Linked DNA regions of Mytilus edulis. The protein of the gene in region 3 binds, or shares a complex with, the protein of the main gene of each other region. Links are inferred from orthologs where the notes say so. Each region holds a gene or a part of one and is shown on either strand. Other genes may lie near its edges. The genes, in order: vacuolar fusion protein CCZ1 homolog, vacuolar fusion protein MON1 homolog A-like and regulator of MON1-CCZ1 complex-like.

What was found.
Region 1: the proteins of regulator of MON1-CCZ1 complex-like (region 3) and vacuolar fusion protein CCZ1 homolog are in contact, whole or in part, in a cryo-EM structure (PDB 8JBE), measured with the Drosophila melanogaster proteins. The link is inferred for Mytilus edulis from reciprocal best matches to the Drosophila melanogaster genes Bulli and Ccz1. Residues at the interface, in NP_648047.2 of Drosophila melanogaster: Tyr395, Gly397, Phe407, Tyr464, Ser467, Met470, Leu471, Gln474, Asn477, Asn498, Arg499, Asp502, Thr503, Arg505, Arg506, Leu507, Tyr510, Met512, Asp530, Thr531, Ala532, Gln535, Ile538, Asp539, Arg543, His547, Ile550, Lys559, Asp562, Leu566; in NP_647835.1 of Drosophila melanogaster: Tyr188, Leu189, Pro190, Leu191, Asp192, Lys193, Thr194, Phe196, Leu197, Arg198, Gln200, Asn201, Glu207, Val223, Leu224, Cys225, Gly226, Lys228, Tyr342, Asn385, Gln387, Ser388, Pro427, Ala428, Asn447, Tyr448, Arg449, Asp479, Phe483, Lys485.
Region 2: the proteins of regulator of MON1-CCZ1 complex-like (region 3) and vacuolar fusion protein MON1 homolog A-like are in contact, whole or in part, in a cryo-EM structure (PDB 8JBE), measured with the Drosophila melanogaster proteins. The link is inferred for Mytilus edulis from reciprocal best matches to the Drosophila melanogaster genes Bulli and Mon1. Residues at the interface, in NP_648047.2 of Drosophila melanogaster: Ile561, Arg565, Lys568, Asp590, Leu592, His595, Ser596, Arg599, Phe600, Met603, Phe631, Pro632; in NP_608868.1 of Drosophila melanogaster: Pro416, Glu417, Arg419, His438, Pro439, Glu445, Arg448, Met473, Lys474, Glu475, Arg476, Glu494, Pro495, Val496.

Annotation. Positions count from the first base shown.
Region 1 is NC_092352.1:32,880,736-32,888,573, reverse strand, and holds the start of vacuolar fusion protein CCZ1 homolog, read left to right. Parts: upstream 1-4,833; 5' UTR 4,834-4,982; coding exon 4,983-5,219; intron 5,220-5,787; coding exon 5,788-5,885; intron 5,886-7,838. Other genes in the region: short-chain dehydrogenase/reductase family 9C member 7-like, read right to left, coding at 2,210-2,407, 2,946-3,186. UniProt on the Drosophila melanogaster protein: Part of the Mon1-Ccz1 guanyl-nucleotide exchange factor complex specific for Rab7 that promotes the exchange of GDP to GTP, converting Rab7 from an inactive GDP-bound form into an active GTP-bound form.
Region 2 is NC_092344.1:78,429,788-78,436,747, forward strand, and holds the start of vacuolar fusion protein MON1 homolog A-like, read right to left. Parts: upstream 3,023-6,960; 5' UTR 2,984-3,022; coding exon 2,678-2,983; intron 1,417-2,677; coding exon 1,256-1,416; intron 590-1,255; coding exon 151-589; intron 1-150. UniProt on the Drosophila melanogaster protein: Part of the Mon1-Ccz1 guanyl-nucleotide exchange factor complex specific for Rab7 that promotes the exchange of GDP to GTP, converting Rab7 from an inactive GDP-bound form into an active GTP-bound form.
Region 3 is NC_092344.1:110,107,969-110,115,455, reverse strand, and holds the start of regulator of MON1-CCZ1 complex-like, read right to left. Parts: upstream 3,022-7,487; 5' UTR 2,980-3,021; coding exon 2,869-2,979; intron 968-2,868; coding exon 891-967; intron 1-890. UniProt on the Drosophila melanogaster protein: Positive regulator of the Rab7 guanyl-nucleotide exchange activity of the Mon1-Ccz1 complex, possibly by enhancing its endosomal membrane association.

The DNA.
Region 1 (7,838 bases), on a different chromosome or scaffold from region 3:
TATCTAAAAGTATTATTAAATTTGTTTATGAGATGTTGTTTCGATGGGTCTTTGCTGATTTTTGTCATAAATTGTAACTCATAGCAATACAAAAACAGGTCCACAATAAGTGGTGCACAGTTAGTCCCCATTGGAATTCCAATAACCATACGATATATAGAATCTTCAAAGCGAACAAAAATGTTATCTAGTAAAAATTCAAGGGCATATATAGTATCAAAGCATGTCCAATTGACATAGTTTTTTTGTTTATTGCTACTAAAAAATGACCTAAAAGAGTTTGAACATATATATTCACATTCTGACTTTTTAAATGCCCATTTAATTAGGTGGGTGAATTTTTTCTTAATGAGAATGTGAGGCAATGTGGTATACAGGGTAGAAAAATCAAAACTTTGAACAGATTCAAAATCACCAATATAAGCATGCAATTTATCAAGTACTTCCAACGAGTTCTTGACACTCCAAAAGTAATTAATTCCACTATTTTCGAAGGCCTTATTTGAACAATTTATTATCAGGTTTTTGATTGTACCAAGTGTACTGGTAAGAAGAATAGACAATTTAGTAGTGGAACAATGGCTTGAAGACGAAATAAATCTATATTTGTAAGGTGTTTTGTGTAGCTTCGGAAGCCAATACATAGTAGGGACTTTCATTGTATTCAGTTCTGCTTGTAAAGGGGTAGCTAAAAGTTTATGTTTGTTACAGATGTCGATTTCTGAAAATGGAGTCAGTTGGAATGTTGGTGAATTGGTAATTTCTTTTTTCAGAACCTCAATGTAAAATTTACGTCAAACAATAACAATATTATTAGCAGCTTTATCGGCCGGGAAAAAAACAAATTCCTTGGCTAGTTCTTTTAGTTTATGTTTGATACGAGAATTAGGTTTATTGTGGTTATTGTTAATAATAAAATGTTCTTTAAAATGTTGAATATGTATATCAACTATGTTCATTACTGAATTAAAGAAAGAGTCCAAAGATTTTTTGTCAGCTTTTTCCCGTTTTATCCATTTCAAACAGTAAGTACGGAGTGAGTCGTGGATGATATTACGAAATTCATTCCAATTAATAACTGACGGGGGACGATATTTAGGTCCTTTACTGAGGAATGATTTTAACTCTCAGTCTTGAACGATATTAAGATCTCCTGTTATAACATGGGAAATGGGTCCATAAATGTATGTGGAATTACTACAATTACATGAAGTAGGTGTATTTTCACTGATATTAGCGGCTAGTTTAAGAAAGTTATTAAAATTTTAAAAACTTTAATGACAGAGTGAATGTAATGTTTCCTGGCAGAAAAACTAAGTCCATTTAAAGTAAAATACGGAAAAACAGGATTTTTTTTTACAAAATTTACTTCTGGATACTATCTTAAGATCATAAACAAGCTTCTGTCCAAGTTTGGTAGAAATCCAGGCCAGTTTAAGGAGGTTATTAAAACTTAAAAAACTTTAACCACAGAGTGAAAGTAATGTTTCCTTGCAGAAAAATTAAGTCCATTTATAAGTAAAATACGGAAAAACAGGAATCTTTAACCACAGAGTGAATATTTGTGAACGCCGCCACCGCCGACACCAACAGAATGTAGGAAAGCTATATCTCACTTTTTCGACATAAGTCGAAGGCTCAACAAAAATATATACAACCTGGTAGTAAAAGATAAAGTTAGAGTTTGTAGTTTTATATGAAAATTTGCAATGACATCTATAAAGAAAACAATGAAAGTATATAAGTTCCATTAGTAACAAGATAATATTTTACAACAGGGATATAGTTGTCATAAATTGGTTAAAAATTTACCTCATTTTATCACAGATACAAATGCATAGTAATTCATTGAGGAAGAATTAATCCACTTACAGGTATTCAACAAAACACACATGTACATGTAACATTTCAAACCCATCATTTTCCTTTTCTGTTATTTATGCAGCTTAACAATTAGGAGTTGTCTATTAATTATTTAATTTGGCTTAAATAAAAGACTGATACTAAGAGTATCATTTATCATTGCACCCGAAATTTCTAAGGAATGAACATCAATTTGCTACATGTAGTTAAAGTTTGACAGACCAAAAACAGTTCTAACTTTAACTTCATCATTGAAATTCTGTTCAAATATTTTGTGGCATTGTGTCTTCCTGTTTCTGCTTATGATGCTGATATCAATTTGTCATATATATATACATGTAAATACCTTTATCTTTGACTTTCTTCTCTATCTCAGCAAAAGCCTGGTCAACAGAATTATCATCTGTTATATCAAGTTTTATTATCTGTATACTACTGTACTCTGATCTAAGTTGACTGGCTCCTTTACCATCTGGATTATAACACCCAGCAAACACAGACAATCCTTCTCCTGATAAACGACGAGCCACAGCATTCCCAAAACCTTTTAAGATAAAGTTACCAAAAAAACAAGATAAAAACTCTTTTCTCAATGCTTTCAAAATAACAACCAAATCCTGAAAGTTTGGAATAACTTCATGACACCACTTTTGAGTTCGCCTTAATTTACTAACATGAAGAGGAGAAATACATACAGTAATTTATAGTATCCTTTGAATTTGGTTTAAATGTTATTTTTTATCAGTAACAATTTTAATGTTCATAAGGCACAATATTAAGCAATTGATCATAATTACTTTTACTTTACTTTAGTCTGTACTGTTCCGTCTATATTAGACGACCAACTTTTCAGTGTGAATATCATTAAAATTGTCATTTAATTCAATGCACTAGTTGTATGTTATACCATATTACCATAAGAATTATTATAATTCTAAAATACAAGTATGGTCCAAATCTACCTGATATTACTTAAGTTTGAAAAGTCAATAACCAGAGACTATCAACCCATCTTCTTTTGCTCTGCATTGAATGGATCCCATATATCCTTTGTCATGTTTGTTTTCCTATTACATTATTACCTGTATCACAACCAGTTATAAAGACATATTTTTCCTCTGTGTTTATTCGTCTGAAGGTAAGTTTCTGATACACTACATTTAGTATAATGAGAAAAGCCACAAACAGTATTGTTTTGGCTATGAATGGTTGGACTATAATGAATGGTAGCACTGCCAATACTCCCAGATAAGTCAGTTCAAAAGCCTGGAATCCTATGAACTTCTTGATTCCCATTCCTAAGTAACTTCTTATGCTGTCCATTCTGATAGCTTGTAGCTTATACTGCTCTCTGTAATTAATCAATACACATGTTTAACAACTGCAGAATGAGTTTTCTTAGAATTGATCTGTTTAATCTTACTGAAGCACACAATGTATTTAATTTTTGAATAATTAGCATTGACTAGCGAAAGCTAAAAAAATTCCAACTGCACTGCACAGCACAGAGTAATTTTGTAGGTGTACCAACAGTCATGTTTGTCCATTTGTTATACATTTTAATGAACACTGTAAAGGTTCATCAAAAGAAATTGAAAATGGCTGCGTTAACATCACAAAATCTACTATGAATACAGACAAACTGATGCATCTAGGAACGTTTTAAGGCATGGCAGGACCTAGATATATAAAAGTTATAAGTAGTCTATGTTTCAGAAAATTAAAAACTTTTACCTGGATTTTGATGTGCCTTTTTTTACAGTCTGCAGAAGATAGCAAAATAAACAAACACACAAGTTTCATTCGATACAGTCAACTCAGTTACACAGTTTAAATCACCTCTTGTTTGCAATGTCTATTGTCCATCTATTGTCCATTTAGATCAATACTACATACAACTTTGATTATATGAGAGGAGATTCTCAAACTTTTCCCAAACTTAGTTTATTTTTGCACCTTTTTCAGGAATGAAAAAACTGAATAGCAAAATCCATAAAAGGTTATAATTTTCTGAAACATAAAATGCATAACCTGACGGTACCCAAATTGCACCTATTTTGACAGTTTTTTCTCCTACGTTTTTTTATGATCAAGACAAAAATGTCCACTCTGTGTTTATTTTGTAGCTGTATCCTTCTTTATTATAAAAGTACACCAATTTGATTTTTAATCCATATTGAGTCATAGGTTTGAATCGACCTCCAAACTATTCATGATTTCGTAATGAGGAGTACCCAAATTGCATCCATGCTTAAATTTACATCATTAAAAATCGAATAACAAATGTTTTGTTTTATTTTTTCAATTATTTAGAACAATTGGATATTAGTCCATATTTAGTCTTATTTTTTTAAGAAATGGATACTTGTAACATATTGTTTTTGTTAATTTAAAAAAGATGACGTTTTAATGATGTCGCATGGCGACGTTTCCGTACATTTTGCTTTTTCAGTAAACACTTCATCTGTTGATAAATACTGTGAACGTTTTGTGTATATCTAAATATCTTTACATATGTTGAAAGACGTGCATAGTATCAAATCATAAAAATGCAAATTGTTTAGTCTCTAGGAAATCTTGTAAGATATCCACTGATATTTTTTCTAAATAGGTGCAATTTGGGTATCCTGCCATGCCTTAAAACTTCTCCGGGTGGAAAGGTTTGTCTGTACTTAGAGTTAAATTTAGGGTGTAAATACTGACATATATTTTAGCAAAAAGGTTATGATGAACTGAGCTAACAAAGAAATGTTAAAATATTTGCATTCCAATACAAAGAATTATGACGTCTTATAGTATAATGATGTTCATAACTCTATGAAACTTGAATATTTCATATTTCATTCTATGAAAATTGTGTTTTTGATAGTTATGTAAATACTTTACATTTTTACAAAATAATCACCCTATGATGGCCTATCGTCCTCAATATCGAACCATACAAAGTGCCAAGTGAAAGTAGCCGGAAATAGACTAGAAAAGGACTTCCTGTTAAATCGAAAGTAGAGTTGTGAAGTAGGAGTAAACTTTGAAGTCTGCTAGGCTAGAAAATGACTTTCATCAGAGGCATTAATGATTTTGACAATTGTATTTTCTGGATCACAAACCTGCATTAATTAATGCATGAATATTTTAACGAGAAACAAGAAATTTCCACTTCATGTTGTTGCAACAGTGATAAGTTGTCAAACATTTTTACTAAGCATAGTCAAAGGCCAACTAGTAGAAAATCAAGCGACCAAGAAATAAAACATAACAGCACACCAAATCATAACAAAAGCATGGCTGTTAAAGGAGGAATAAGCCTGATTAATTTCTTTGTATTCAATTCAGAATATGGACCAAGAGAGGGTGATGTAAGTTTATACAAAGTACAAGGTATTGTGCCTTGGTTATTTAAGAATATACACTCTTTTGATAATTCATATTCTTAGCTGAGACTCCATATAAAAAACAAAAATGAAATGTGCAGAATATATGTACCAATATTGAGAATAAGACCTGGGCATATAAAATAGAAGATGTGGTATGATTGTCAATGAGACAACTGCAGTCCACAGGAGACCAAATGACACAGACATTAACAACTCACCCTTCACCCTAATTCAAGTCACCCTAGTATCTGTTCACCCTTATTCTATTTCATTTTGATGTCTTGGTATACATAATTTATATAATTTGAATACACTATGTTAATGTAAGTTGCATAAAAAACTATAAACTTAAAAATTTCGCATTTACATGTAGAGTGTGTCCTACTTATTTGACTTTCTCAGTTTATCAACACTAAAAGTTAAAATTTTCCATGTTTTATTTTAAAACCATGGCAATGATTTCTTAGATAAAAAAAAATGATATGTCAAGAATTGCCACTCAAACATTGTCAAACAGAACTTTTTGATAATGCTAAAATGTTTATTTCAGGAAGAGAAAAAGATCATGTATTACTATCCAAAGAATGACCATATAGATACTAAGATAAAACAAATTGGACTGTGTGAAGCTATCTGCAAGTTTACTGAGTAAGTACATTTTGAATTGTTATTTTTTTTTAAATATCTGAAGCAATTACACATGTAGGCTTGCATTTTTGCATGTCTCTTCTGCTTAAAAAAATTATGATTAGGTTAAATATTGAAGAATGATGATCAGACATACATGTTTGATTACCATACAACTTTTGACCCTTATCCAATACCTTGAACAAACTTTTTCTAGAATTTCCAATAGGTTGAAGAAGTTTTCTATTGATTTTGATTTTGGTATCACTAGGTCAAAGGGTAAGTGATAGAATGAAATTTGGACAAATTCTGGTTTCCTACCATATGTCCAAACTTCATTAATTTATTTAAAAATGACCTTTTCAAAGAATAAGACCTCTAGATTACAAGGTTCAGATCAAGGTCATGGTCACAACACCTACAAATAGACTGCCAATTTTGGCAAAGGTTTGATAACTGGGCAATACATTTCAATCCATGAATCAGATGTTTACTATTTTTCATTGGATTTTGGGGTGAAAAAGATCCATGTTGATTTTAGGGTCACTTGACCAAGATAAAGATCACAGCAGTGATTAAAAGACTGAAATTTAGGTGCATTTTAAGTGTTTGCCATTGATATAGTCCTCTAAACCCTACATCTAATCTTGACCAAAGTTAGTCTTGTAATTTCCACTAAGAAGGAAACAAATCTGGGAAAAGGTTTGTTTCCTAACAAAATCTTTTGACCTATAAATCAGATCCTTACCAAAGCATGTATCAAAATATGATGCAATCAAAATATGATTTAATATGGCAAACTGAGCTTAATAATGATTTCAGAGGCAATAAACTATATGGTAACAAGCTCAGAACTTATAGACTTTTTAAAAGCAGATTTTGCTTAGAAAATTACCTTTTGCAGGAAAATTTTAGATATAGACATTATTTAACAAAATTCCATATCAGTGCTCACGATTTAGAGATTGAGAGAGGAAGGTACAAAAATATGACAGTGTCAGAACGTATCTGTAAATTGTGCGGTACTGAGGTTGAGGATGAAATTCATTTTCTTCTTCAGTGCCACAAACTTTCAAATATTCGTTTCAACTTTTTAAATGAAATAAAACAACGGTTTAAAAATTTTAGTGGTTTAGATATTAAATCACAATTTATTTGGCTAATGTCCTCTGAAGATACTTTCATACTCCAGAAACTCGGAGAATTATTGGAAAATTTATCCTCATATAGGAAAGTTTCCTTAAATGATATATAGATATAGAAATGCCCAGTGACCCTCCTTATATTATTAAACACTGTGCTTGTTGTATTCTTGTACTTGTCTTAATAAATATTTTTTGGTTTGGTTGTTTTTTTGGGTTTTTTTATAACATTGTGTCTTAATCATATAGAATCACTTGTAATCATTCGTATGTAATTAATGTTGATTGTTCTGCTCCTTGTGGGCGCTTTGATTAGCAATAAAATATATTTGAAATTTGTATTTTTTGCTTCCTCAACAAAGAAGACAGCATTTGAATTTGAGGTCAACATGTTAATACATATACTATAAGGACTTCAAAATTGTGTTAACAAATTAAATAAATTTACAGTTGATTATAAAATGACAGTTAACACAAAAAAGACCAAGGTTCTTGTATTTAACAAATCAGGAAGACTTAAAAATATTAAAATTTCATCAGGAAACCAGACTTTAGAATGTGTACAGAACTACACATACTTAGGTATAAATTTTTCATCATCTGGGAGTTTCCAAATAGCAAAGAAAGAACTTTATAACAAAGGAATGAAAGCATATTTCAAATTAAGGAAGACCTTTTCAGTGGAAATCCCAAAACCTAGTACTTCATTACACATCTATTACCATATAATCCGACCAATCTTGTTGTATGGATCTGAAATTTGGGGTTATATACCACATAAGAAACAAATACATTTGGATAACTTTATATCAAAAGAAACTGATTATCTTGT
Region 2 (6,960 bases), about 32 Mb from region 3:
TACATGTACATGTAGTACTAGTACATAAATATTTTGAATGTCCAATGTAAACATACAAATTTTGTTTACATTTTGTAACTGGAGCTAAAATTTTGTATAACTCGAGCTACATGTACAATGGTAGTCGAACTGTTGTACATCAATTCTTACCTTAACTCTTGCATGTTGAATTATACTTTGAGCAATGCTATCTCTAACGGGGCTATCTAAAGGCAGACATCGTACTGCTTGAAGTTTAAAACTAGGGTCATGGTCCATTAAATTCAATAGATTGTCAATAAATTTTTCGGATCCACTCAACATTCTCCGCAAATCATAATTTCTCCTCTGTTTGAAGATTTTTTGTAATGAAGTAAATGTAAGTACACTAAGAATTTGATTATAAATATATGATAGTTGTAGTACAAGTTGTTGGACTGATTCCAATCCTTTTGATACCGCAACAAGGTAAATATGTTCTCGAACTAAGAACACAAACTTATGATCTCCAGCAACAATACTACGCATTGAGTCTTTAGCTGCAGACACAAATGATATCAAAGCTTGAAGAACTCCCATAATTGTCACCAGTTTATCTTCCTGACCATGCCTGTATAAATAAAACTTTCAATATGAATTTTAATGTGAAGATATTAATCTTATAGCACTAATTAAATACATAATCATTGATAATACGAAAATACACAAAATTACACAGAAATATAATATGCTAGATGGTTGTAAAAATTCTTAACAAGACAATTTTCAGATATTTCTTTTCAAATGCTGTACAAACATTTCACTTGCAGAAAATAAAGATTTTTAAAGTCTTTATTTTGAACTTTTTACATGGGAAGTTCGGGACCCTGGAAAGCCATAGAATAGAATGAACAGATATTAATTGACAGCAAGTTTTTAAAATGTCTGAATACAACAGAAAATTTTATATACTTTGTAATAATACATGTTATCAGGTTAGAAAATCATTGGGACTTGTCATTTTTGCCATGGCGAGTATTAAAGTGTGAAAATCAAATTTTATTGCTATAAAATTTTTTTTTTAATTTCTCCATGACAAAAAAGCAAGGAAATGAAAATAACTTTGGATTATTTTGAAACCAATTTAGTGTTAAACTCTTTCTCTTCCCCTAATGTGATGATCCCTCCATGTTGATACAGATAACTTTTATCTATTGCTAAATCATTTGAACAGAAAAAAACATGCATATAACAATAAATTTTCTGATTTATATCCTATCTATAAAATATCTATTACCGTGAGTAAATAGGCTTTCCAGAACTACTTAGTATAAAAATATGCTTCTTTTCCAGTTGCCACTTGGACCCTTTTCCATACTCATCTTCTTCAATTTCTTCTATAGGGTCAGACTCTTTCAAAACCACATCATTCAAAGCTGCAGATAAATCTTTTGGAATCTAGTAAAAAACATGAAAAATAAGAAGGATTAGCTTATTTAACTGTATTGGTACATTTTGTACAGGTATGTATACATTCATCTGTCTTTGACAAATGTTTGCACACAAAGGTATTGGATAAGACCACTTCATTTTTATTTTGACAATTACTTTTTTCCACTATCATCATGATTATTGTAAATTTAGATGACAGAAATCATTGTGAGGTTTTCATAAATGGGAATAATGTGATTGAATGAGTATCACAATAATAAACCTCACATTCTGATATCTAAAAGTACAACTGTATGCAGATTTTCCTGAAACTGCAACAAATAATCTTGCATTTTAGTCCATTCTTCATAATTTTTTGCAATAATAAATGCACTCAATAATTTCTGCAATTTTTAGGCATTACACTTATCTGTAAAAATACATAGACTTTCTACCCATTGCCAATTTTCAAAAGAATTTCATTGATTTGCATATATAGTTTAATTATAAGTTACACCACTGTGAAAATGATAAACCAAAAAAAAAAAAACAATATCAAAATGGGAATGTGTCCATGGGACAAAGATGAACCACTAAAAAAAAAACGGTTAAAGTGACGCTATCAATTTGTAAAAGAGTATAACTCTAGAACGGTTGAAGTACCACCCGAATACTGCCTTGATTTATACTTCAATAAGCTTTGTGTAAATGTTTCATAGCATTTGCCAAATTAGTTGTGGCAAACTTAAGTTAGAGACAGAATAAAAAAACAATTTTTTCATTTGTAAAGGGGCATAACTCTAGAAAAATAAAAGTGCCACCCCCAAAATAAAAACTTTATCTGTATTTTGTGGTAATTAGTTTCATAACATTTGTTTGAGGCAATCTAAAGTAAGAGAACGGAAACAAACTTTGGAACGTACAGACAGATGTAATTATGGACGTTCAGTTGGACAAGGGTAGAACTTTAAAATGCCCCCCTCCGCTATGGCACTGCACTGTATAGTCCAAGAACATCAGAATAATCTCGGACTATGCCCTGTATTATGTGTATTGATACAAAATGTATGTTTTTGTTTTAAATGTGGTATTATAGTATACATCAAGAACAGTTGTAAGTTTGGCATTAAAATCTTAAAATCGTTTTGGAACTCATGGTCTTGGAACCAACAGATATTACATGTATATCTGATCATTTATAAACAGGAACATTGTTTTGGACCTAATGGACTTAAAAATTGTGGCTGTACACAAATATTAATATTTCGTGACATGAGATGATAATGACCTCATTGTGATCTTCACTTGATTCTTCACCAGTGGATGTGTCATTGTGTTCTGAGGAACTGTGTTCGTCCTGAGATCCAGAACGAACAATGGCGTGAATGACACCACTTGGATGGCTGTCATAATCTTCGTTGACCAGATCGTCGTAATTTATATCCACAAAGGTATCTGCTGCCACAAGAACTGCGTTCTTTATTTCTTCTGATGCAGGTTCTACAAAATCGTCTTGATCAGAAGCAGAAGCGGAGTCTGGATTTCGCACTGAAGGGGGCACCTGTTCCGCCTCTTTGCCCTCTGACTCGTCCATAGCCAGGGTTCATTATTTGAGATCACCGAAAATGACTTCCGGTTTATAAAATATTTTTGATGTTGTATGCTTTAAATCTGTAACATAGTTTACAGTGTTTGCAAAACTTCTGATTTGTCATATAAATACATTCTTGATATTCGAGAGTCTCAATAAACTTTTTCAAAGAATGGCATATCATTATTCTAAATATAAGGGGAACAAGTGTTAGCTGTCCAAAAAGCTTGTCTGGCTTTAGCTTTCATGATTGTATAGACGTTACGCGCGATGTTCGTACATGTAAGCGTTACCGTAACACAACGTCCCGAATATGTCGTAACGTTCAAACCGAAAATTTGACTGAAACGTTGTTTTTAAGCAAGTGCGACATTCTTGTAAGAATCCGCAAAATCATCGACGGTGCTTTTTAACTACCCATCGAAAATTGATGTATTTTAGTTTCTTGAAAATTTAAGAAAAATAACATTTAAAAAAATCATAAAATTCTACCATTATAAGAGCAGTGATAAGCAAACAATTGACGTAAATTTGAGTTGAGTTCGTTTTTACGTCAGAAAATGGCGATGCGACAAACTTGTAAGCCTTTGAAAAATAGCTCATAAATTACCATATATCATTTTTCAGGATATTTGTCTTTAAATTCATAAAATTAAGCAAATTAACATTGATGTAGTAAATACAAATACTAAACTTTTTTCATTTTAGATAAATGTTTTTTGATTCTCAAATCTGGAATTCCAATTTTTTCCCCGCGGGACAGATTTGCCCTTGTAGTATGGAACGCGGTTTTTTCTATGACGTCATCATAACGTCATAAAAAAATGCATAAAAGACTGAAGGAACCATTCTGTTTAATTATGGAAAAAAAAAACGTTTTTCAAAATATTAAATAGTTTTGACCGCAAAATCATAGTTTAGACTAATAGTGGTTACAATAAATGAAATATGTTACGCGGGACAACCTAAAAATCGCCGTTTTTTTTAAATGAAGCTTGTCGCATGCAACATAAAACATAGTTTCAACAATTATTTGTTTCGTTTTTATTTTAAAAATCGTTATTTTTTAAAATACGTACAATAGCAATGAATATGATATCACACAATTATATATTTTGGACTTGCATCTTGCCAACTACACCGACTGAATTTCCAATGAGGTACGAATATCGTGCGTAACGTCATAGCAAAAACATTAGTTATATCTGGGACATACTTTACTAGTATACTAGTCCATGCTTTGAAGACTGCAGTAAAGGTTTGCTTAGAGTGTGGGTTAGATTGAGATTGTCTATTGGTATGCAAATGACATTATGTAACACATTATAAGAAATTAAGTTAGATCATAAGTGACATAATGTCGCAGTGACAACAGATAGCTTATGTTTGAAATTCTAAAAAGTTCGGCTTTGACGTAGGAGCATATTGTAAAATAATTCTTATAGTCCCCCAAAAAGGGCTTGTGTAAAGTAAGTCTTACTGTACAATCATTGCTAGTCAAGTTCCCCCCCCCCCCCCCCCCCAAAAAAAAAAAAAGACTGCTACTTCATACTAATTTGATCAAAGTTCTAAGTTCTTTTATTTTCCAATCAAGGCTCCCTGACGGGACATAATGACAACAATACACAATATATCACATTCATAACTACACATAAACATATTGATAAAAATAGAATTAAAATCTTACATTCATAACACATAAACATATTGATAAAAATAGAATTAAAATCATCACAAATAGTGGATGAGATTACCATGTCTATCATAGAATATATATGATACATATAATCTGGGAACAGTATATTTATGTTCCTGATATAATCATACAAAATATGATCACAACATAAAACATGTTACTTACAATTATATATTTTTTTTATAAATCAGTTAAGTTTTTTCTCGAGTTTTTTCAAAGTTTCATATCTTTAATATCATATACTGTTATTCCAGGATCATGAAATTTTTCTGTCTTTTAATGGTTGTTTCTTACATTGACGAGCTAACAATTATTGGAAACAATAAAACTTGTTTCACAATATTTGTGATTTTACTTATTTCTACTTGAACTTTTAATCTTGAACACATTGGAGTTGTATAGCTTATCATTTATACATATTTTATTTGTAACTAAAAACTACAATTGCATGCTTGAAAATTAAGTTATAGATATTTCATATCTTTAGGATAGTTTTGTGGTGTTTCGTAAAATATATCATAGCTTTTGTTGAAAGCCTCGGCCTTATTATACTTAAGTCTGCCTTCATAAGTTTAATAAAAACGGTATAGGTTAATGTTATGTTACTTTTTTAATTGAATTCAGACTAGTAAGTAAATGCTAGAAATTAATCATGAAAGATCACAGGAACGAATAATTTAAATTGTTTATAATATTATTGATACGCTGTTTAATGTTTTGTTTTGGGTTCTTAATGGTAATACATAAACCAATTGGGAAAACAATGATGTATTAATTATGCACAGTATAACTGTTACAAAAATCCGAAATGAAACAATTCGCAGTCATAGCAGGAAATTAACTTACATTTCTTCAAAAAAAAATAATAGCCGTCTGTTATATATATATTTTTAAGAGATTATTGTTTGGAGACCACTAAAAGAAAGTTTATCATTCAACTTATATATAATTTACACAATGATTTTATGATTAATGAAAAACGATAGATTTCAGTAATTTGTGGACCCACATTTTAGAGGGTCAAGATAATCGTGATAAATTTCAGGTATACATATATCCTTTACTTCCGATGTCATCATGGTGTAAATATAATTTATAATTTGTACAAATAGATACAATTAATACTTACTTTCATTGCATATATTTTGATACAGAAAAACCTTTATATTACCCGTATTTATTTCCTTTTTTGTGGTTTTTTTTTGGTAAACCAACTAAAACGTATTTTATCATTTACATGTAATCATTGTACAGTGGTTGTCGTCAGTTTATGTAGTTCATACGTGTTTATCGTTTCTCGTTTTTATATAGATTAGACCGTTGGTTTCCCGTTTTCGGAATGGAAAGGGTGACTGGGGAATAGAAGTATGATCACTTGATCTTCCTCCGACCGGCAGTAAAACGCTAGACAAAGTGGGGCGTCCGTTTGGCTGTGCGGGATGTATCAAGTTTGCAGCCATGTCGAGTCAGAATGGGGACGTTAAATCCGATGTCTCGTGTAAAGAGAGTGCCACGCTTTCTGCACGTTAAGAACCCTTGCAACACCTCTTTGAGGGGTCCGTAGGTGGCCTGTTGCAAGGCAAAATTTCTGTCCACTATACCCTCATTTCCCAGACCATCATCTCGGACGGCTTCTATTCAGTACAAGACCTACCTATTGTTTTTATTGTTAACCTGTTCTAGCCCTGACCATGCATGAAATATTTGCCACTGGACGTTAAGCAACCAGCAATCAATCAATAAACCGTTTGAATGGTTTTACACTAGTAATTTTTGGGGCCCTTTATAGCTTGCTGTTCGGTGTGAGCCAAGGCTCCGTGTTGAAGGCCGTGCCTTGACATATAATGGATTACTTTTATAAATTATTACTTGGATGGAGAGTTTTCTCATTGGCATTCATGCCACATTTTTATATACCTATATATTATACTAATATTCGACAAATATCCCATTCTTTCAACCTAGGCATCATTAAAAGTGTCTCTATCGACCCTTTCATATTACAACATCTGCTATACCACAGTAGAAACTCCCTGTTTCGGCCCTTCTTTACTTATAACGTAATTTCCAGCTGATATGATCCCTCCATAAAGGCACACAAATAGAGGATACCAAAGGGACATTCAAAGTCCGAGTCGAAAATAAACTGCCAACGACATGGCTAATAGACAAACAGACAAATAGACACACAGACACACAGACACACAGACACACAGACAAACAGACAAACAGACAAACAGAAGTACTTTAACAACATAGAAAACCAAAACTTTGTAACACCACC
Region 3 (7,487 bases):
TTCAACACAAGCTATTGTCTGTAAACTACAAAAATGATTCTTTTTGGGCCCCTTATTCCTAAATATTCAGGGATATAAACTCCAAACTGACACCAAGCCTTCCCTTCTTTATATGGAACCTTGTGGTACAATGTCAGAGAGATCCATACAGTTAAACATGTTATTACCCCAAAACTTCAAAAATGCTTGTTTTTGGCCAATAATTCCTAGACTGTTTGCCCCATAACCCTTAAAATATATCCCAACCTTCTAATTAATGGTATGAACATTGTGGTACAATTTCAGGGTAATTGAAATACTTATACACAACTTATTGACCTGAAACTAGATAAATGTATGTTTTGGGCCCCTAATTCCTAAACCGATGGGACCATAACCCTAAAGATCAATCCCAACCTTCCCTTTGAGGTTACAAACATTGTGGTAAAATTTTATTGATTTCTATTTACTTATACTAAAGTTATTATCCGGAAACCATCCGTCTTTGGATGACGCTGACGACGACGTGATACCAATATACGACCGCAAAAATATAAAAATTAGAAAATAGGGAGGCCAAAATCAGGCCTTATCCTACCTTGTCCTTATCTGATTAGATAAGTTGGTCATTCTTGAAGTTATATTTCTCAAATTGCTCGTCATGTTCAGAACAAGACAAAAATGTTAGTGACTTTCAAAATAAAGAACAGTAAGTTAACATGGTTAAGCACTTATCTTCTGGTATATTGCAGGATAAAGTTTTGCTTCATGTATGTATTGGATAGCAAATTCAGACAAGTGATGATCTTATCAGACAATAATTTGAATAACAATACATGTATATAAAATTAGCAAATTAAATCATAATTTCAAATTTCTTTCAAATATAATGTACGGTACAAATGTACAACCTGAAAGTAAGAGAGTTGCTATCGTTTGGTCCTTTAACCACCACCCCCATAGCTCCACAGGAACGTACTGCAAATACCTACAACATACATAAATCACTCAATGGAAAAAAATCAATTAACCCCCTTTCCCTTTTTTTTTGTGAGATATAAACAAAATGTTTTAATTCATAGTGTAATATAAATTCTATGTTCTTTTGCCTCTGATCAATCATTATTTTGCATGTAAAAAATTAAAGGTTATCTCTTTGAAGAAGACCATGTGTAATCCTACAAATAGGTATTCAATTAATATTTGTTCCAGCTTTTCAAGTTATGTCCAGGCTTTTTATTTCCTTGTAAGTGGTCACATATAAACAAATTCAGACAGAGTTATCTATTACATGTACTAGTATACAAATAGACATTCAACCTGACTCATCTTTCCAAATTATGTTATGGCTTTTTTTAATTCTTAGCAAGAGGTCATCCTGTTGGTTTTTGATGTGAGCAGTTTTTATTACGATATGTGTTTTAGTTTTACAACATATGGTCAAGAATCTACATAGATAAAGGGGTGGTTTGTGTGTATGCAACACTGTTTCACCCCACCACATTAGAGCCTGTACAAAGTAAGGCTATCTGAACCATGTGTTATTGTTGTTGTTTTGTCTTTGAAATCTATTTATTCTGAGGAATTTGAGTTAGGTGAAGGAGTTTGTTCTGTAGTTAGAAAAAAAGATTGAATACACAATGTTGAATGTCAGGGATTTCTGTTATCCATTTCATGTACATTGTATTAAGTTATTTGACATATAAATAAAGGGTATTCTTTCTGGCTTCTGTTGTCCTTGTAAAACATTCATAATATTTACTAATATCATCTGTTGACAATGGTTGATGGCAAAGACAACATAACTAAAGTAATATTTTTTTCCACAATACAGTCCCTTTTGCACTCATACATGTACAACATCTTCTTATATCCATACTTAGTACAAGTATAAATAAAAGGATTGATAGATTGATTGTTGTTTGCTTTAGTCCAGTAGCAAATATTTCACGAATGATCAGAATGAGAACAAATCATCAATTAATATGGTAGGTTCTGTAAAGTGAAAGGTTGAGGTATCAATGTAGTCCTCCAGAAAAGTAAGCTTACAATCGCCTTCATGATGTTCATGTGGCATCACAGCAAAAAAAAAATAGCCTTCAGACGTCAAAATATACCTAAACACAATTTGTCCGCAATTACTGGACATCACAAAGGTTACTGTAAAATTCTGACATCACAATAGTGTCACAGATTCCAAAATAGCAATTTATATACACCAATATCAAGTTTTTTAGGACCTGGGTCAATCTGTGTATATGATATATGACATCATTGAACAATGGATTCTTATCGAGACCTTATAACATAAATGAACTTTCTAACAGGAAATATACGCAAAAGAGCACAAATTTAGAATTCTTCTATCATTTAAACTATTAACACATTACCATGTTTACGTAAAATAAGCAAATCCCAACCTGACAGGATAATGGCGGTTTGGCCATGATCAACAAACTGAATATTTTGCCATGACTTCGGTGCGACTAAATGGAAAGTTTGAAATAAAAACATGATTTCAATGACAAAGGGTAGACAAGACTGTCATTGGTTGAAACAACACTGAATCAAGGTACCAGACACATATACAAATGTGTACACAAAAATATGTCTCTGAAGCCTTGCAGACAAGTGTTGAAATGAAGGGATTCAAATGAAGTTACAAAGTCATTTTCTAAGCTATGACAAATCAGAGTGTGTGGCCTTCAAAGACAACATTCTAGTTGTACCACAGGCACTAGACGTTCTGTCAATAGCATGAAAATATTGGCAATGGGAAGAAAATAGTGTCCATATATATAATATATATATATGGACACTATTTTCTTCCCATTGCCAATATTTTCATGCTATTGACAGAACGTCTAGTGCCTGTGGTTGTACATTCACCTGTCTATTAGCGTCGTCATAGAATACGTTTGTGACTTTATCAACTGGGTCGAATCGAATAGGGTTTTTACAAAGTTCGATGTAAAAACACCCATCGTTTTGTTGTGCCATTTTTGCATCTCTTCTGTTTTCACTGTCTTCACCAAAAGTCAAGAGAGATTCCGAAAGTCTATTACAGGTGCGTTCGAACAGACATCTCTATCCTTTATTTAAATAGTACTGTTTATCATACACATTTTATTTGTGTTTTCTTTGAACAATTTAAAGTAAGGTTAATTAAGATGAGAATAATAAGATTTGGGCGGGCAGGGGAGAGAAGAAGGATTTTGTAAATGCATATCCTGACAATTAAATAGATAATAATAAAATAACATGGTATAGGACACAATACAAATGAATATATTCTATCATATAAATAACTTCCTAATTCTTACTCTATCTGCCTGTTATGATCTGTTATGGTTCTTAGCTTTTATGTGTGAGTGGAGTATCATAACTAAGACTACTATAACGTTATAGTAATCTCAGATCATAATAATTTCAGAATGCTAACTTAAGTTAGAGTGGAATAAAAAAGTCATAAAGTGACATAACTCTAGAAAGGCACCCTGCCAAAAAAAGTGTCCCCTATCATTTTATGTTTCTTATTTGCAATAGAAAAAAAACCTATTGACACAGAGATATGTTGAAATACAATTTAAAACAAGAATGTGTCCCAAGTACACGGATGCCCCATCTGCACTATCATTTTCTATGTTCAGTCAACCGTGAAAATGGGATGAAATCTCTAATTTGGCATTAAAATTAGAAAGAACATGTTTACTAAGTTTCAAGTTGATTGGATTTCAACTTCATCAAAAACTACCTCGACCAAAATGTTTAACCTGAAGCAGGACAGACGAACAAACGAACAAATGGATGCAAAGACCAGAAAACATAATGCCCATAAATGGGTCATAAAAAAGACAATCTGATTAACAGCACATACAACATTGCTTATCATTTCAAAGTCACTGGACCATGACAATATATCTGATAGTAATACAATATATAGAAAATAGCATTGATCTACAAAAAGCTCATTTAAAACCGATTAACCCAAAAAATCTTAACAATAATTGAGGCTGCCGCTAAAAACGCTGAAAAAGGCAACACCTACATATCAGCAGTTTTCATTGCAGGCTAGACAAAACTTGACAAAAAGTTAGGTGGAAGGGGGCAATCACTTTGGTTTCCCTAAATATATTCGCAACTATAATTAACTCTTGATGATTAAGAGCATGTCATATTGTACAGCTACTTGTCTATTGTTTAAGAAAGTATGTTGCATCCTAAGGAATTTTTTACTAAAGCTTCTTCCTAATCATGAGTAAAATTTAGATTTTTTAACATTTAGGTAGTTTGCATTTTGATAAATGGACTATTTATCTTTATGGCTGATAACAGCAATAAAGGGCTGCGCTTTAGCGCATGATTACGCCCGTTGTTTGAAAGACGACGGGCGTATAAAAATGGCAAAAAAGACTACAATGACAATGAGGAGCAGCAAGAAGATAACAGGAAAAGTGAAGATGGTGAAAGTGACTCTACTGAAAGTTATGATCTAAATGAGGAAGTAGGTGATGAAAGTAAGGATTTCATTGATGATGAAGATAAAGATTTCATTGATGATGAGGAGGCCTCTTCTGAGAATGAAAATGAGGATTTTCTGATGATGAGGACAGTGATTACAGTGAAGAAGACACTGATGATTAAACCTAGTTCAGCTTTTCAATATTTAGCATAAAAAACAAATATCATTAACATTGGCATATAACATAGAAGTCTTCAATGCAATATAAGGAAAGTGATATATGATTATGGGTTTTAGTAATTCTATGGCTGATTTACTAATTTTATAGTAGTTTGAAAGAAGGTAATTTTCTTTGGGTATATTGCTCATAGTTAGATTCTGTTGAACACAGTAAGGAATCCATACTAAATTATACAAAGATGTATGCAAAAGTTGTTCAAATGGTGCTTAATATGGTGGATAATGATTATTACCTTTTATTGTTTAGAATATTCACAAGATGATCATATTGATAAATGTTTAGGAGACTTGATTTCCTTATTTTTTTCATAAAATGACACCCTTTAACATTTAAGGAATATTAAGTCACATGTTAGGATTTTCATGTTGTCACTTGTTCACTTATTATGTGCTATTGTAGACTAGTTATGTTTTATAACATTTTTTATTGCGCTCAACCCTTCCACCGAAACCGAACTCTATAAAAAAGCTGCAATGCTAAGGTATCATTTGTGATTTCAATTGCAACCAATTTTAACAAGAGTAAAACATCCTATATGCAAAAACAGTATTTGATTTTTATCCATAGCTTAGATAGTAAAAATGTTATCATAAAATGATATATGCCTCAGGGAACAGTTAGTATCTCAGGGACTGCTAATGTGCTTTCATCCTTGCAACCATTCAATAATAGTACAAACGTATGACATTCATGGAATCTATTTTTTACAAGAAATTTAATGTTTTAAATTGAACTAAAGATTTTACAAATTTTATGTTTTCATCAGATTTTATTAAGTATTATTTGTTACATCAATAGATATAAACAATTCACCAAAGTTTCATGGACATTGGTGAAAGCCTTTTTGAGTTATTGTCTGAAGTGTTAAAAAATTCCCCTTTTTTTTATGAATAAAGCCCCATAAATCCAAAACTTAAAATCTGAAATTTATAAAAATTGAAAGGGAGCTTACATCAATAGATATAAACAATTCACCAAAGTTTCATAGACATTGGTGAAAGCCTTTTTGAGTTATTGTCCGAAGTGTTGAAAATCCCCCCTTTTTTATGAATAAAGCCCCATAAATCCAAAACTTAAAATCTGAAATTAAAAAAAAACGAAAGGGAGCTTACGTCAATAGATATAAACAATTCACTTAAGTTTCATGAAAATTGGTGAAAGTGTTTTTGAGTTATTGTCTGAAGTGTGGACGACGGACGGACAACGGTATACCATAATACGTCCCGTCTAAAAGACGGGCGTACAAAAACAGAAATAACCTTTTATTCTGATTTAAACATGTTGAAAGATAAAAAAATATTGCAAACCACTTTTTTCCATTTTAAATACTTCTCATTCACACATAAAAACTGTATAATGTATATGGTTATGCGAAACATACATTTGAAAACTCAGAACTTAAGTCTGTTTTCAATTATCCAAAACGATTATTTAAACCAACATATTCTCAATTTGCCATACATGTATTAAGTACAACTTCATTGATTGTTACCAAACAAACATGAATACGTATTCCACCTTTTACCTTAATTTTTTTAATAGAATAATGTAGTGTAGATCTGAAGTTCTGAACATAATAAGCCCCCCCCCCTTTTTTTTTTATGAATAAAGCCCCATAAATCCAAAACTTAAAATCTGAAATTTATAAAAATTGAAAGGGAGCTTACATCAATAGATATAAACAATTCACCAAAGTTTCATAGACATTGGTGAAAGCCTTTTTGAGTTATTGTCCGAAGTGTTGAAAATCCCCCCTTTTTATGAATAAAGCCCCATAAATCCAAAACTTAAAATCTGAAATTAAAAAAAAACGAAAGGGAGCTTACGTCAATAGATATAAACAATTCACTTAAGTTTCATGAAAATTGGTGAAAGTGTTTTTGAGTTATTGTCTGAAGTGTGGACGACGGACGGACAACGGTATACCATAATACGTCCCGTCTAAAAGACGGGCGTACAAAAACAGAAATAACCTTTTATTCTGATTTAAACATGTTGAAAGATAAAAAAATATTGCAAACCACTTTTTTCCATTTTAAATACTTCTCATTCACACATAAAAACTGTATAATGTATATGGTTATGCGAAACATACATTTGAAAACTCAGAACTTAAGTCTGTTTTCAATTATCCAAAACGATTATTTAAACCAACATATTCTCAATTTGCCATACATGTATTAAGTACAACTTCATTGATTGTTACCAAACAAACATGAATACGTATTCCACCTTTTACCTTAATTTTTTTAATAGAATAATGTAGTGTAGATCTGAAGTTCTGAACATAATAAGCCCCCCCCTTTTTTTTTATGAATAAAGCCCCATAAATCCAAAACTTAAAATCTGAAATTTATAAAAATTGAAAGGGAGCTTACATCAATAGATATAAACAATTCACCAAAGTTTCATAGACATTGGTGAAAGCCTTTTTGAGTTATTGTCCGAAGTGTTGAAAATCCCCCCTTTTTTATGAATAAAGCCCCATAAATCCAAAACTTAAAATCTGAAATTAAAAAAAAACGAAAGGGAGCTTACGTCAATAGATATAAACAATTCACTTAAGTTTCATGAAAATTGGTGAAAGTGTTTTTGAGTTATTGTCTGAAGTGTGGACGACGGACGGACAACGGTATACCATAATACGTCCCGTCTAAAAGACGGGCGTACAAAAACAGAAATAACCTTTTATTCTGATTTAAACATGTTGAAAGATAAAAAAATATTGCAAACCACTTTTTTCCATTTTAAATACTTCTCATTCACACATAAAAACTGTATAATGTATATGGTTATGCGAAACAT